2 linked regions of the Drosophila melanogaster genome follow. The protein of the gene in region 1 interacts with the protein of each later gene in a pairwise test. Each region holds a gene or a part of one and is shown on either strand. Other genes may lie near its edges.

Region 1 (8,399 bases):
CCTTTCCGGAGACCGCATCCTGCAGCATTTCGAAGGTAAGCAAGTCGCTGAGATTTTTTGAATACCCAAATGACCATCTATATTAACTGCATCTATATTCCATGCACCACAGATGGCCGAGGCGGGATTCTATTGGACGGGCACCAAGCGGGAAAACGACACTGCCACTTGTTTTGTGTGCGGAAAGACCCTGGATGGCTGGGAGCCCGAAGATGATCCGTGGAAGGAGCACGTGAAACATGCACCCCAATGCGAGTTCGCCAAGCTATCGTGTCCCGAAAGGAATTTAACCGTATGTTCCCCATGACTCCCGAATCCAGCTGGCATCCTAAACTTGTGTATAATTCTTGCAGGTATCACAATTTCTGGAAATTCTTGGAACCGTCGTTAAAGGCAGCATAGAGAAAACCTGCAAAGCCTTCAAATCGAGCTTCGTTCGGGAGAATGAGAAGCGTCTAGATGAGTTTACGCGTAATCAAAAATAGAGCGCTAATTTTTAAACCTTAAATATACATATATAAAACTCGCTATTTATCAAGATTTTTAATAAAACGCAATGTTAGTCCATCGAATGTATTTATAAATTAAACTGTAATAGGATTTTTTTTTAATTGCTTATTTTAAACCAATCTGTCTCGTGTTCAATTTAAAAACTTCAAGGTCGTATATGGTCATACTGAGTCTTCTATGTGGAACAGCTGATTAAAACCAAATCCAATGCAGCTTTTAAATCCTGCGATTTGTTGTCCTGTTCCGCTGAAGCAAACGTTATGCTGAAGCGCAAACTGAACCAGCAAAAATGCAATCTGGAGATTGGGGAGCCCACTAAGACATCCGCAAGGCAGGGCAGTACATCGGAATTCTTTGATAAGCCGCTGTGGCTTAAATTCTACGAAACCGAAGTCAAGTTAAATGAGGCGCTGGAAAAACTGAATCCTCCTGAGAGCACACCGTTCATCTACAACCCGATAGTATATGCATCCCAGCTGCACTGCGACTATTTACGTCGCTATATGGACGGTCCCAAGAAGCTGGTATTTGTTGGCATGAATCCAGGGCCCAATGGAATGGCCCAAACCGGAGTAAGAGCTTAATCTTGTAGATTATCCGAACATATTGATACATTGACGCGCTCTGCTTCAGATTCCCTTTGGCAATGTGCGCACAGTAAAGTTGTTAATGCAGCTGGCTGGTTCGGTGGACCAACCTCCAGTCGTGCATCCCAAACGTCCAGTCGCTGGCTTGGATTGTCGGATTGAGGAGCCCAGTGGTGTGCGTTTGTGGGAGCTGTTCCTCCGACTGGCTGGCAGCATGCAGACCTTCTCCCAGCAGTGTTTCGTCCACAATTTCTGTCCGCTAGCTTTCTTTGGCGCAGATGGCAGGAACATAACGCCCAGTGAAATCAGAGGAGCTTACAAAAATCAGCTAGGAGACCTGTGCCTGCACACCCTGGAGGAACAACTGAAGCTCCTCCAACCCGACGTGATTGTGGCCGTTGGGGAGTATGTTCACAGCGCACTGAAGCGTTCAGGATATGCCAAATCCAATTGCGTTTCGGTGCTCCGACTGCCGCATCCTAGTCCGCGTTCTACTAATAATACCAATTGGCCCGAGAAGGCTCAAGCATTTTTGGAGGAGCACAACCTAATCCGATTCATGCGGAATGAGGCTTGAAGCAAAAATGGTCAATTATTTAGATAGTATTTACATATCTGTATCTGTACAAATACATTCTATGTATATATAAGGATATTACTGCACATACTATAACTTTAAAGCTCTACATTTATAAGTGAGTGGCAAAAGAGAATACATTATTAATAATTTCAGTATTCTATTGAAACAGAATTCTCTATTTTATTTTGAGATATTATTTATTTGCGGGGAATACCCCAAATACAAAAGGTGACTTCGCTTTCCCACCGTGACCGCTCGTACAGTGACCGCTCACCGTGACCGCCAGCTGTTGCGCAGTGCTGGAAAGTGCCGCCTGAGTGAGAGCTACCCATTGTTTTTGTTGACCTGGTCATTTCATCTCATCTGTTTGCGGCTTTTCACCCAGTTCGCCCGAGTCTATTTCCATGCCAAATGGCCGCCTTCATGGAGGAAGCGTTAGTGGAGGCGAGGCGGGCACGTGACGCCGGCGAGGTGCCCGTGGGCTGTGTGTTCGTTCATGGGGACAAGGTGGTCGCACGTGGCGGGAACGAGGTGAACGTCCACCGGAACGCCACTCGCCACGCGGAATTCATTTGCATCGACGCTATCCTCGCCAGCTGCCGCGAGAGACGTCTGCCGGCCCGCCAGCTGTTCAGCGAGATCACCGTGGTGGTCACCGTGGAGCCCTGCATTATGTGCTCCGCCGCCCTGCACACTCTGGGCGTCAAGGAGATCATCTACGGCTGTGAGAACGATCGTTTCGGAGGAAAGACGGTCGTGGATGTGGCCGCCGTCGTTGGCCATAGGATCGAGATCACGGGCGGTGTGCGGGCGGATGAGGCGATGGCTCTGCTAAAGGATTTCTACAAGGGCGACAATCCGGCGGCACCGCCACAGGCCAAGAAGAAAAAGTAGGATCAATTGTCGAGGCCAAAAGCGTGCGTGAAGAAGGGGTAATTATAAACCTAAAGAATTTGCTAGAGAGAACGATACAGTATTGGTTTTTCAGGAGCATGAATGGAGTCAACCACTGATCCTCAAAGAAGTAGGAAGCTATTACAGTCATTGAAGTAATATTTAAAGTATGATAAAACTATAGAAAAATAGTAGAATGCAAAAGTCTACGTTTTCGTAAAATTCAATTACTTCCAAGCCTTCCAAAATCCGGAAACGAGCAGATTACCGAAAATCCGAAGGCAAACCTCTAGTTTACTCATTATTTCAGAGGGAACAAGCCAAGAAACGTATTTATCTTATAAAAGGAATAGTATTCCGTCGAAATCATCGTGAAATAGAGAACGAATTTCAAAAACGCAATCAGAAATGAAAGTAGTTAGAATACATAAAACTACAATCGCATAAAGAATGAAAACATTAGTGCTCCAGTCATCTGCATCCTGGAGGCATACATCCGAAAGTAAAATAAGTACCACTGCATCATTCTTCGACGATTTCTGTATATGATTCAATTTATTATAATCTTTAAGCATAGTCTAAGATATATTGTATATGGCGTTCAGAACGTATGTTTTAACTCTAAGCATAAATACAATTACTGCATGAAAGCTACAGCATTTACGTGTGTGTAGTGAAGGCTGTGCCTGTTTCCACTATAGGAAGACTACTCAAAACCTTTTGTTTCCTTTTCAAATGCGTAAAGTGCAGTCTCGCTAGCAGTCCGACACCAAGAATCTAGTTTACCCTCCAACAATCGAAGCAATATATATTATAGAAATATATGGTTGTATTATAGGCTAACTTGTTTTAAGTTCCCACTTGTAAGATAAATGTCGGAGGGCTGCACCCGTGCTTAACCTAATGTAATTTCCCTACGTCCTAAGCTAACTCTTCGGTTCGATCGTTTGCTGCGCCAGCTTATTGCCTCGATCGCAATCAGCTAGCTGCCAAGCTGGCCATCAAGTGCTGGCGCAGCAAACGAACAATGGCGGGCGACTAAGTGAATCTAGACTAAATCTAATTAAATGCGCATGCTGCGGCGTCTATGGCCAATGTTGAGCCACTCCAGCGGCACGTTTCCGCCCACATTGTAGGTGGTGGGCGTGCAGTTGGGCAGCTTGCGGGCGGGCTCGCATCGTCGGCTAACGTTCCAGTAGGCGAATCCCTGCGGACAGCGGTGGATCTGGCCTTCGATGCGACCCGTCAGCTCCGAGAATCCGCACTTGACGAACAGCTGGCCGCACTGGTCGTTGTTGAGCGCGAAGTGACCCTCATCCGGGCAGAGCGGATCTGTCGTGCTGATTTGAACCTGTTGATGGTAAAATAATTAAATTGTATTATTTCATTATGGAATGTAGACTAGACTTTACAATTATACGACTTACCACATTCTGAAGTTTCGTTTCCTCTTCAAACGCGTTGGTGGTCCTCTTCATGTCCTTGGAGCACTTGTCACCTGCCGGTGGCTTGCCACAGCTGCAGGACTTGTCTTGGTAGACGGTTCCGTTGGGGCATTGGAATACCACGATGTTAAGATCATTGTTATCGGCACTTTCGCTGCACTGGTAGAACATGCCGCACTTCTCCGGATGCCGGCGGAATCCAGTGGGGCAGACGTACACGTTCTGACCTGGTCCGGTTTCGGGACAAGGAGCAGAGGTATTGGTACTGGGAGCAGGACTCTCCGTAGTGGTAGGCGATTTTGACGTTGATGTTTCTTCCCCAGCTATGGTAGTGGTTTCAGGCTTGGGTGGTTTTGTAGTGGTTTCAGGAGTGGCTGTGGTGGTTGTGCCAGAAGTAGTAGTAGTGGTTTCGGAGGCTACTGTGGTGGTGGTTTCAGGAGACGATGTAGTGGTGGTTTCAGGAGCCCATGTTGTGGTGTTTTCAGGGGCCTTTGAGGTGGTTTCAGGTTTTCCAGAGCTGGTTGTACTCTCCGTCGTACCAGGTTCCGTAGTCGTTCCCGGCGTGGTCGTCTGTCCCGATGAGCAATTGCCAGACACCTGATCGGCGTAATTGCAGGTCTCGGTGGACGTGTCCCAAACAGTTCCTTTGCCGCACTTGAAGGCATAAACCTGATATTTGCCGTTTTTGGCTGCATCCACACAACGGTAATAGCGACTACAGTCCTCGGGATCTGGGAAGAATCCCTCCGATGAGCAGTTATAGTTAGGCTGTGGCTCCGGCTGAAGAGTGGTTACTGAACCTTCAGGGGTGCTGGATTCGGGACTTTCCGTGGTTGTTGTGGGTTCGGGTTTTTTTGAGGTTGTAGGCTCTTGAATTGCATCCGTGGTTGTGGAAGGTAATGTGGTCGTGGTAATAGGTTCGCCGGTGGTAGTTGGCTTATAGCCAGGAGTTGAGGTTGTAGTTTCTACCGGAATCGGCGTTGTTGTTGGATTATAGCCCGGAACAGACGTTGTTGTTGGATTGTAGCCCGGAATACTTGTGGTGGTGGGTTCTTCAGTGGTCGGCTTCTGAGGATATTCGGTTGTAGTGGGTTTCTGGGGCTTCTCTGGAGTAGGCTCCTCCGTGGTGGTCGGCTTCTGAGGATATTCGGTTGTAGTGGGTTTCTGGGGCTTCTCAGGGGTAGGCTCCTCCGTGGTGGTTGGCTTCTGAGGATACTCGGTTGTAGTCGGCTTCTGCGGCTTTTCTGGTTCCTCTGTGGTGGTTGGCTTCTCCGGATATTGAGTGGTCGGCTTTTGAGGTTTTTCTGTTGAAGGTTCTTCGGTGGGTTTTGTAATGGGTTTTGTCACTGTGGTGGGCTCATCCGTTGACTGCGGAGTGGTGCTTCCGGGATCCTTGGACTCTTCACTTGGTGTCGTAGTGATTGGTTCAGCGGGTAACTTCGAGCACCTTGGTATATTCTCCACGTAGTCACAGGTCTGAACTTCTTCATTCCATCCCGTGCCCTTGGGACACGTAAAGTTGTACTTTCTGTAGGAAGCTCCAGCATTGATGCATCGGTAGTATTTCCTGCAATCTTCGGGATCGGCCATGTATCCCTCTCCTGTGCATTCCGTTCCAGCTGGTAGGGGTTTCATAGTGGTTGTAGACGGTGGTTGCGTGGTGCTTTCCGGACTTGTGGTTACCGTTGATGTTTCAGTTTCCGAACTCAATGTTGTTGTAGTGGGTTGAGCTCCTGTGGTCGTGGTGGGTGGCAGTCCAGTTGTTGTAGTCGGAGGCAAGCTAGTAGTTGTAGTGGGAGGCAACCTAGTAGTTGTTGTAGGAGGTAAGTCTGTGGTTGTAGTTGGAGGTAACTCGGTTGTTGTAGTAGGCGGCAATCCTGTTGTTGAAGTGGGTGGTAAATCAGTGGTGGTGGGTGGAGGTGTGGTGGTCGAGGACGTAGACGTGGCCGTTGTTCCATTTGTTGCTGGCTCACAAGGCGGTTTTGGAGTGGTACTTTCAGTGCCCGTACTGCAATTGTTGAAATTGTGGTTGCAGGTCTGCAGATCCTGATCCCATACGGTACCAGCTCCACATTGGAATGGAATTGAGGTGAAGCCGCCTTTGTTGTTCCTTACACAGCGGTAGAATTTGGAGCAGTTGTTGGGATCAGCCATAAAGCCCTCCGATCGACATTTGCCATCCGTATTGGGTGCCTGAGTAACAGGAGATGTGGTTTGGGATGATGAAGCTGTTGTTGGAGAAGAAGTGGTTGGTCTGGCAGTCACTGGACGTGCGGTAGTGGGCGGACCTGTGGGTCTCGACGTTGAAGTTTGGTCAGAAGGTCTAGAAGTGCTTGCCGTTGTTGGCCTGGAGGTCGTCGGAGTAGAAGTTGTAGGTGGAGCAATACCACCGCATTCCTTTACTGCCCACGCATGATTACAGGCCTGCATCTGGGCATCCCAAACAGTGCCAGGACCGCAGCTAAAGGGTACCATATTGAAGCCACCTCTGTCATTATCGACGCAGCGATAGAATTTGGCACAATCCGATCGATCGCCAATAAATTGTCCATTAACTTTGCAGGTTTCAGATGGATTTGGTTTTGACGAAGTCGAGCTGCTGCTGGAGGAGGACGATGAGGAGGAACCTTGATTATTATTATTGCTTGATGATGATGAAGACGATGTTGACGAAGATGTCGATTGATTTCCAGAAGAGTTCGAGCCGGAAGAGGAGCCACTATTGGAGGATGAGCCTTGATTCGATGAGCCACCGCTGGAAGAAGCGCCACTGTTTGACGATGAACCTGTATTGGAGGAGGAGCCACTGTTGGAGGATGATGAACTGGAAGATGATCCACTGTTCGACGAGGAACCACTGTTGTTTGAGCTACTCGAGGAGTTGCTGGTGCTGTTAGAGGAGCTTCCGCCTTGGCTAACCACCTTTTTGCATTTGAGCGGCTTGGTCTGGATCTGATCAGGATGGTTACAGCTGTTGGCCTCAGGATCCCATAGCGTGTTTGGAGGGCAGGTGAATGATACTTTTGTAAAACCACCCTTACCATTATCCACGCATCGATAAAACTTCGAGCAGTTTTCGTTGTCAGCCAAGAAAGTTTCCTCACTTTCACATTTCTCTGCAGGTTTGAAAGGCTTTTGTGTAGTGGATGATGATGTCTGGTTAGATGATGACGATTGATTGGAGGAGGATTGATTCGAGGACGATTGGTTAGACGAAGAACTTTGATTTGAAGATGATCCCTGATTTGAGGAAGATCCTTGATTCGATGATGATCCCTGGTTAGAAGAGGAACCCTGATTAGAGGACGATCCTTGGTTCGAAGATGAACCCTGGTTAGAGGATGATCCTTGGCTCGAAGATGATCCCTGATTGGAAGATGATCCTTCGTTGGAGGAAGATCCCTGGCTAGATGATGATCCTTGGTTAGATGACGATCCCTGATTGGAAGATGATCCTTGGTTGGAAGAGGAACCCTGATTGGAAGATGATCCCTGGTTGGATGAAGAACCCTGGCTGGAAGATGATCCCTGGTTAGATGACGATCCTTGGTTGGAGGACGATCCCTGGTTAGAAGAGGAACCCTGATTTGAAGATGATCCCTGGTTAGAAGAGGAACCCTGATTTGAAGATGATCCCTGGTTAGAAGAAGAGCCCTGGTTGGAGGATGATCCCTGATTGGAAGAAGATCCCTGGCTTGAGGATGATCCCTGGTTGGAAGAGGAGCCTTGGCTGGATGATGATCCACTTCCATTGGCCATAGCCTTGCATTGCTCCTTTTGCACATCTGTTGGATGGTTACATCCCTTCGTATCTGGATCCCAAACCGTTCCAGGGGAGCAATCGAAAGGAACTTTATTGAAGCCACCGCTACCATTCTCTACGCATCGATAGAATCGGGCACAGTCCTTCTTATCAGCCAAATATGTTTCCGTATCTTGGCATTCACCATCGGGATTAGATGGCTTTGTTTGAGTGCTCGTGGAGTTATTATTTGAGCTTGAGGAGCTTTGGTTGCTAGAAGATGAAGTCGAGCCTTGATTGGAGGACTGATTGCTTGAGGATCCTTGATTACTGGATGAGCCTTGATTGCTGGAAGATCCTTGATTGCTGGATGAGCCTTGATTGCTGGACGAGCCTTGATTGCTAGACGATCCTTGATTGCTGGATGAGCTTTGATTGCTGGATGAGCCTTGATTGCTAGACGATCCTTGATTGCTGGATGAGCTCTGATTGCTGGATGAGCCTTGATTGCTAGAAGATCCTTGATTGCTAGACGATCCTTGATTGCTGGATGAGCTCTGATTGCTGGAAGATTGATTGCTTGATGAGCCTTGATTGCTAGATGAGCCTTGATTGCTAGACGATCCTTGATTGCTGGACGA
Region 2 (4,512 bases), on another chromosome or scaffold:
CGAAATAAGCAGGACATTTCGGAAGGACTCCCCAGTACCCTCCTTATGTCACGAAAAAATGTAAGGTGTTGGAAGTGCTTAACGGACGAAAATTTTGAACTGAACTTAAAGACAGAGCCTACCGTAGCAACTAACGATTAAAGAAATTGACTTCTAAGGAACATTTGTTAGAAATACCTACAAAAAGTAGATTTGAGTTATGCGGCTATCATATACTGGTTAATCAGCTTAATGGAGTGGAGTGTTAGGGAAATGGAGACATGCGAGTAGGAACGCGGCTCTTCCCTGGATTTTATACGAACGCCACCTTGCCGCAGTTTCACACAACTTTTTGGGTTTCTTAAGATGACTAAATAAATTTGTACTGTCAAGAATATCTCAAGAATGCCTCTTCAGATTTAGAGTGGGCGTGCATTCGCAGTATACTGCTGTGACTATCAGATACCAATCAAATAGTGCGATAGAGAAATAATATGCAAGCAGCAAATCCATTGTCTAGCAATCAGAATGGCGACATTTCTAGCTCATTACTAATCATATTACAAATAGTCCGAATTGATTAGACGCTTATTAGAAGGATTTTCAAATATTCCTTTTTTTGGTACTCAAAACAAAATGTATTCATAGCAATGGTAATGTTATGTACATTACTTATTGAGCGTTGTTCGGTCACTTTGCGAACAATATTTTTACAAAACTCTCTTTTAATACTAAATTTAATATAAATATGCCTATCTACTAATTTTAATAATTAATTAATTTTAAAATTAAATTTTCATTTTCAAAAGCTGGTCAACAAACAAAACAAGAAAGAAAGCCATAGTCGAGTTCCCCGACTATCAGATACCTGTTACTCAACTAGTGTGAATGCGAACGCGAAATTTCATCAGAAAAAGGTTTAAAAAATTTCCAAAGTGTGGGCGTGACCGATTCGGCGGCATTAGGGCGTTAGAGTAGGCGTAGCAAAAAGTTTTTTTTTGGCAAATCAATAGAAATTTACAATACTAATAAAATTATGGCCGGTTTTAGAGTGTCTTATTATTCAAACAAATGTTGAAATTGTACTCCCTCTAGCTAAATAACAAGTTAAAAAAATTGAATTGAAAAGTTGCTTGTTTTTTAATAAACTTAATAAAAGTCAAAACTTAAATTGAATGAATTTATTAATATTAAAAAAAAGTTGTCGGCATATACAATTTGCTGCTATTTTATATTTTCTTATACAAGGAATGCTTATAATTTGTATGATATCGGCCTATTAAAAACTAATTAATTTCACATACCAAATGCTTATTGGGTCGGAAAAGTTATGTATTTAAATAACAATTATTATTATTACTATAATTATTATTATTACAATAATTATCATTATTACTCCGAAAAGTTGTTAGCCCTATCTAATAATCTATAGCTAACTCTCATAAAAACCATATTAATCAAGCTCCACAATCAGGATTATTCTTTGAATAAGCGATATAGCTTTGGTTTTTTGGGTTCCTGCCCCGATCAAATAAATCCTCCTTGGCCCTGCGAAATTCCACTTCCATCTGATTTAGGCGTCGTCCGATTTTATCGCGCACCAGTGCAATCGACACCATTTCCCGCTCCACATGCTCTTTAGTGACCAGACTACGATGGAACTTGTCGCTAAAGATATCAACGGAGTGGTCCAGGGTAAGCATTTTGCATTCGAGACCCCGGAGATTTTTACGGAGGTACTGGGCCCGACTGCTGAGGTCTTCCTTCGGTCCGCTGATGTCTGATGGTTCTAAAACGCTGACAGCGCCGATTTGGCTGTTTGGTCGTTCTTGGCCTTTTCCTTCCGGCTCATTGACGCTCACATAGTACTTATGTATTTTCAGCAGGTTGGCCCGGAACCGAGCCCAGTCCGCAGTGTCCGGATCTTGCTCCATGCCAGAAGTAAACTGATTGATTTCATTGATGAGCAGGGCGAGTTCACCATTTCGTCTGACGTCGCCTTCTCCTAGAGGTTTTCCCGCTTTGTTCTTACGATCTGGAATCTGAGAATCGTCTTTGGTCTTTGCTTTATTCTCAGAGTCATTCTTCTGCATAGCAGGATTTTCGTCCTTTGGCTCCATTAAGCCTTTCTGAAAGCGTAGCATTGAGGAATATGAAATGGTGCTAGAAACTCTTACCTTAATCAGGATTTCTTTGAAGCTCTTAGCCTTAGAGGTCAGCTTGTCCATGAATTCGTTTCGCATTTCTTTGACTATCTCAGCAATTCCACTACGATCCGCCGACCTGGACAAAAGACCCGGATAGTCCGGATAGTCTGTAAGGTCCTCGTTCGAGGGCTTGTCCAATGAGTTAATGTCAATTAAACCCTTCTGCGGGGTCAGACTTTTGTTAACTACCGAGCGTCCGTGGTGGCCATACTAACCTCTACTAGAAGACCCAGGTGAATGTCGTAGGAGCTAAGCTCGGATGGATCAGCTAACTCATACCCAAATGGTCTTATCGTCTCCTGGCTCTCACTCTGCTTCAGGGTAAGCTGGCTATCTGACGATCTCACATCACCCCATGGTTCGGACACATCCAACTCCACGGAGGCGTCGTCGGTGGGCAGTTCGCGTTCCAGTTCCATTTAACCGAAAATTTCCAAATTACCAATGCTTGGATAAGTAGAAACCTATCACGGCAAATTTTAAATATGTTAATTCCTGCTAAATTACTTGACTCGAAATCTTTTGCTCTGACAGTCGACACAGAGTCTCCTTCCTTTAATTCATTTCATTGAAGTAGAAAGGGGTGCAACCGCGGCTGCGATCGTGATAACCAGTCCTGGAGAACAGAGAGCGGAAATTAACTTTGCGTTTCTGTAACGCATTAGTGCAACCAATAATTTGAGGCATCGTAAACACGTCGTAAATTTTGCACACGCAAATTTAGGTCTTAATATTCTACAGCGCTCAGCAGACAAGCAACCACAGCTCCCTGTTCAACTGCCAGTCGTAATTACAGTCCATTAAGTTCGCTGCGTTTGCGCTGCCCTACCGTTTCTTCTTTATAAATGATAAGTGCCGCTTGCCGGCAACCTCCCATGTGATGGTTTGCTTTGACGAAAACGTCTCTTATGTGGCATGCAACAGTCTTTGCTGAGGTGCAACAGTCTTTGCTGAGGTGTAACCTATATTCTACAAATGAACAAGAAGAAAAACTATTCTGGATCGCTTCGACTTTTAGTTACGTTACTCGTGGACTGAGAGGAAACTATCTAGCAGGTCAAAACCACATCTAAATCTCTCGACCAATACTTCCATTTATTGGCCGAATCTTACAAAAAGGGTATTTACACAGCGAGGTTTGTTTTCGGAAGCATAAAACATTGTTATTAGTTACAAATCTCCCGAGTTCTGCGAGCCATCATATATCCAATTACACGGATTGAAGAGTCCAACTCAACCCAACTCTGTTCCAGAATCTATCTCCCGCTCTTTCGGGAAAGGATACACGTAATCGTCGGCTTTAGAGATAAGTTCCCTTTACAAGAGTTGGCATTCCTTCCTGTTGGAATACAAATTTAAACTCAAATCATAAATATTTGAGTAAATAAATATGTATTCTGCAGAGTGCAAACGTTAAGTTTCGCCGCCTTCTTATAGACTTAGCTCGTTTGATTGCCAGAATGTGGACGATAGTCACAGACTAGGTGGCTTGGCTATTCAACAAGGCGTTTCTTTTTATTTGGCGTCCTTTTTCTTCACTCGGTTTCGTTTCGAACGCCAATTGGCCAACCGAACTTGAAATTTGATATCGGGCACAGCGGCAACCTGTTGCCGTTGCACCAGCTTGGCCAAAACCCGATGTTGTCTCGCTGTCGCCAAATGTTGCTGTGTTGCCCACGTGGTGTCATGAACCTGCCAATCTGATGCAGTAAGGAGAAATTATTTTGTGGAAAGTTCGAGCGTACATTTCTCATGCAACTAAATTTAATGGAAACCCCGAACACTTGGCCTGGGGCAAAGAATCTTGGTTGGTCGAAGCTTATAGACTAATGTCGAGTTGAGTTCAGTAAACTAAAAAAAACCTTCTTTCATAGTGTTCCATATTGCGAAACGCATTGCCTAATCAAAAGGATTTAAAGCATAGAACGCATAGCTCTTATCAATTATAACGTGTAACATGTATACGGTATATTTTAGGGTATATAAAAGGGTATACAAGATTCGTTGATATGTACATAACAGGTAGCAGGAAGTACTCTCCTGATTGGGATCACTTAACCCTTAAGCATGCAGATTCTAGTGACGCCTTCGCCACTTGAGGATTTGTCTCTGCTGCATATAAAATGGAACTTGGCGACATGGACTGAAAAGAGCAACTGCAACCAACACCAAACAGATCCACGCGCTGTTAAGTAACCACTACAGCCAAATGCAAATGATGTGGCACCAACCGGAAAAAAGGGTCGAATGCCGCCCAAATCCTGCCTTGGGTTTCAGAATACAAAACGTCGGGATGGTGGCACACTCCAGTTAACACACCACCGAC

The links. The genes of interacting proteins can lie anywhere in the genome.
Region 2: the proteins of CG5292 (region 1) and CG32459 interact in a two-hybrid assay, tested with the Drosophila melanogaster proteins (one large-scale study listed by BioGRID).

What each region holds. Positions count from the first base shown.
Region 1 is NT_033777.3:17,149,886-17,158,284, forward strand, and holds CG5292 (uncharacterized protein), read left to right. Parts: upstream 1-1,975; 5' UTR 1,976-2,088; coding exon 2,089-2,571; 3' UTR 2,572-2,609; intron 2,610-2,665; 3' UTR 2,666-3,634; downstream 3,635-8,399. Other genes in the region: Det (deterin), read left to right, coding at 1-35, 113-292, 354-485; Smug (Single-strand-selective monofunctional uracil-DNA glycosylase), read left to right, coding at 771-1,082, 1,144-1,674; Mur89F (mucin related 89F), read right to left, coding at 3,635-3,922, 3,999-8,399.
Region 2 is NT_037436.4:22,853,391-22,857,902, forward strand, and holds CG32459 (uncharacterized protein), read right to left. Parts: upstream 2,670-4,512; 5' UTR 2,606-2,669; coding exon 2,402-2,605; intron 2,349-2,401; coding exon 2,157-2,348; intron 2,109-2,156; coding exon 1,437-2,108; 3' UTR 1,193-1,436; downstream 1-1,192.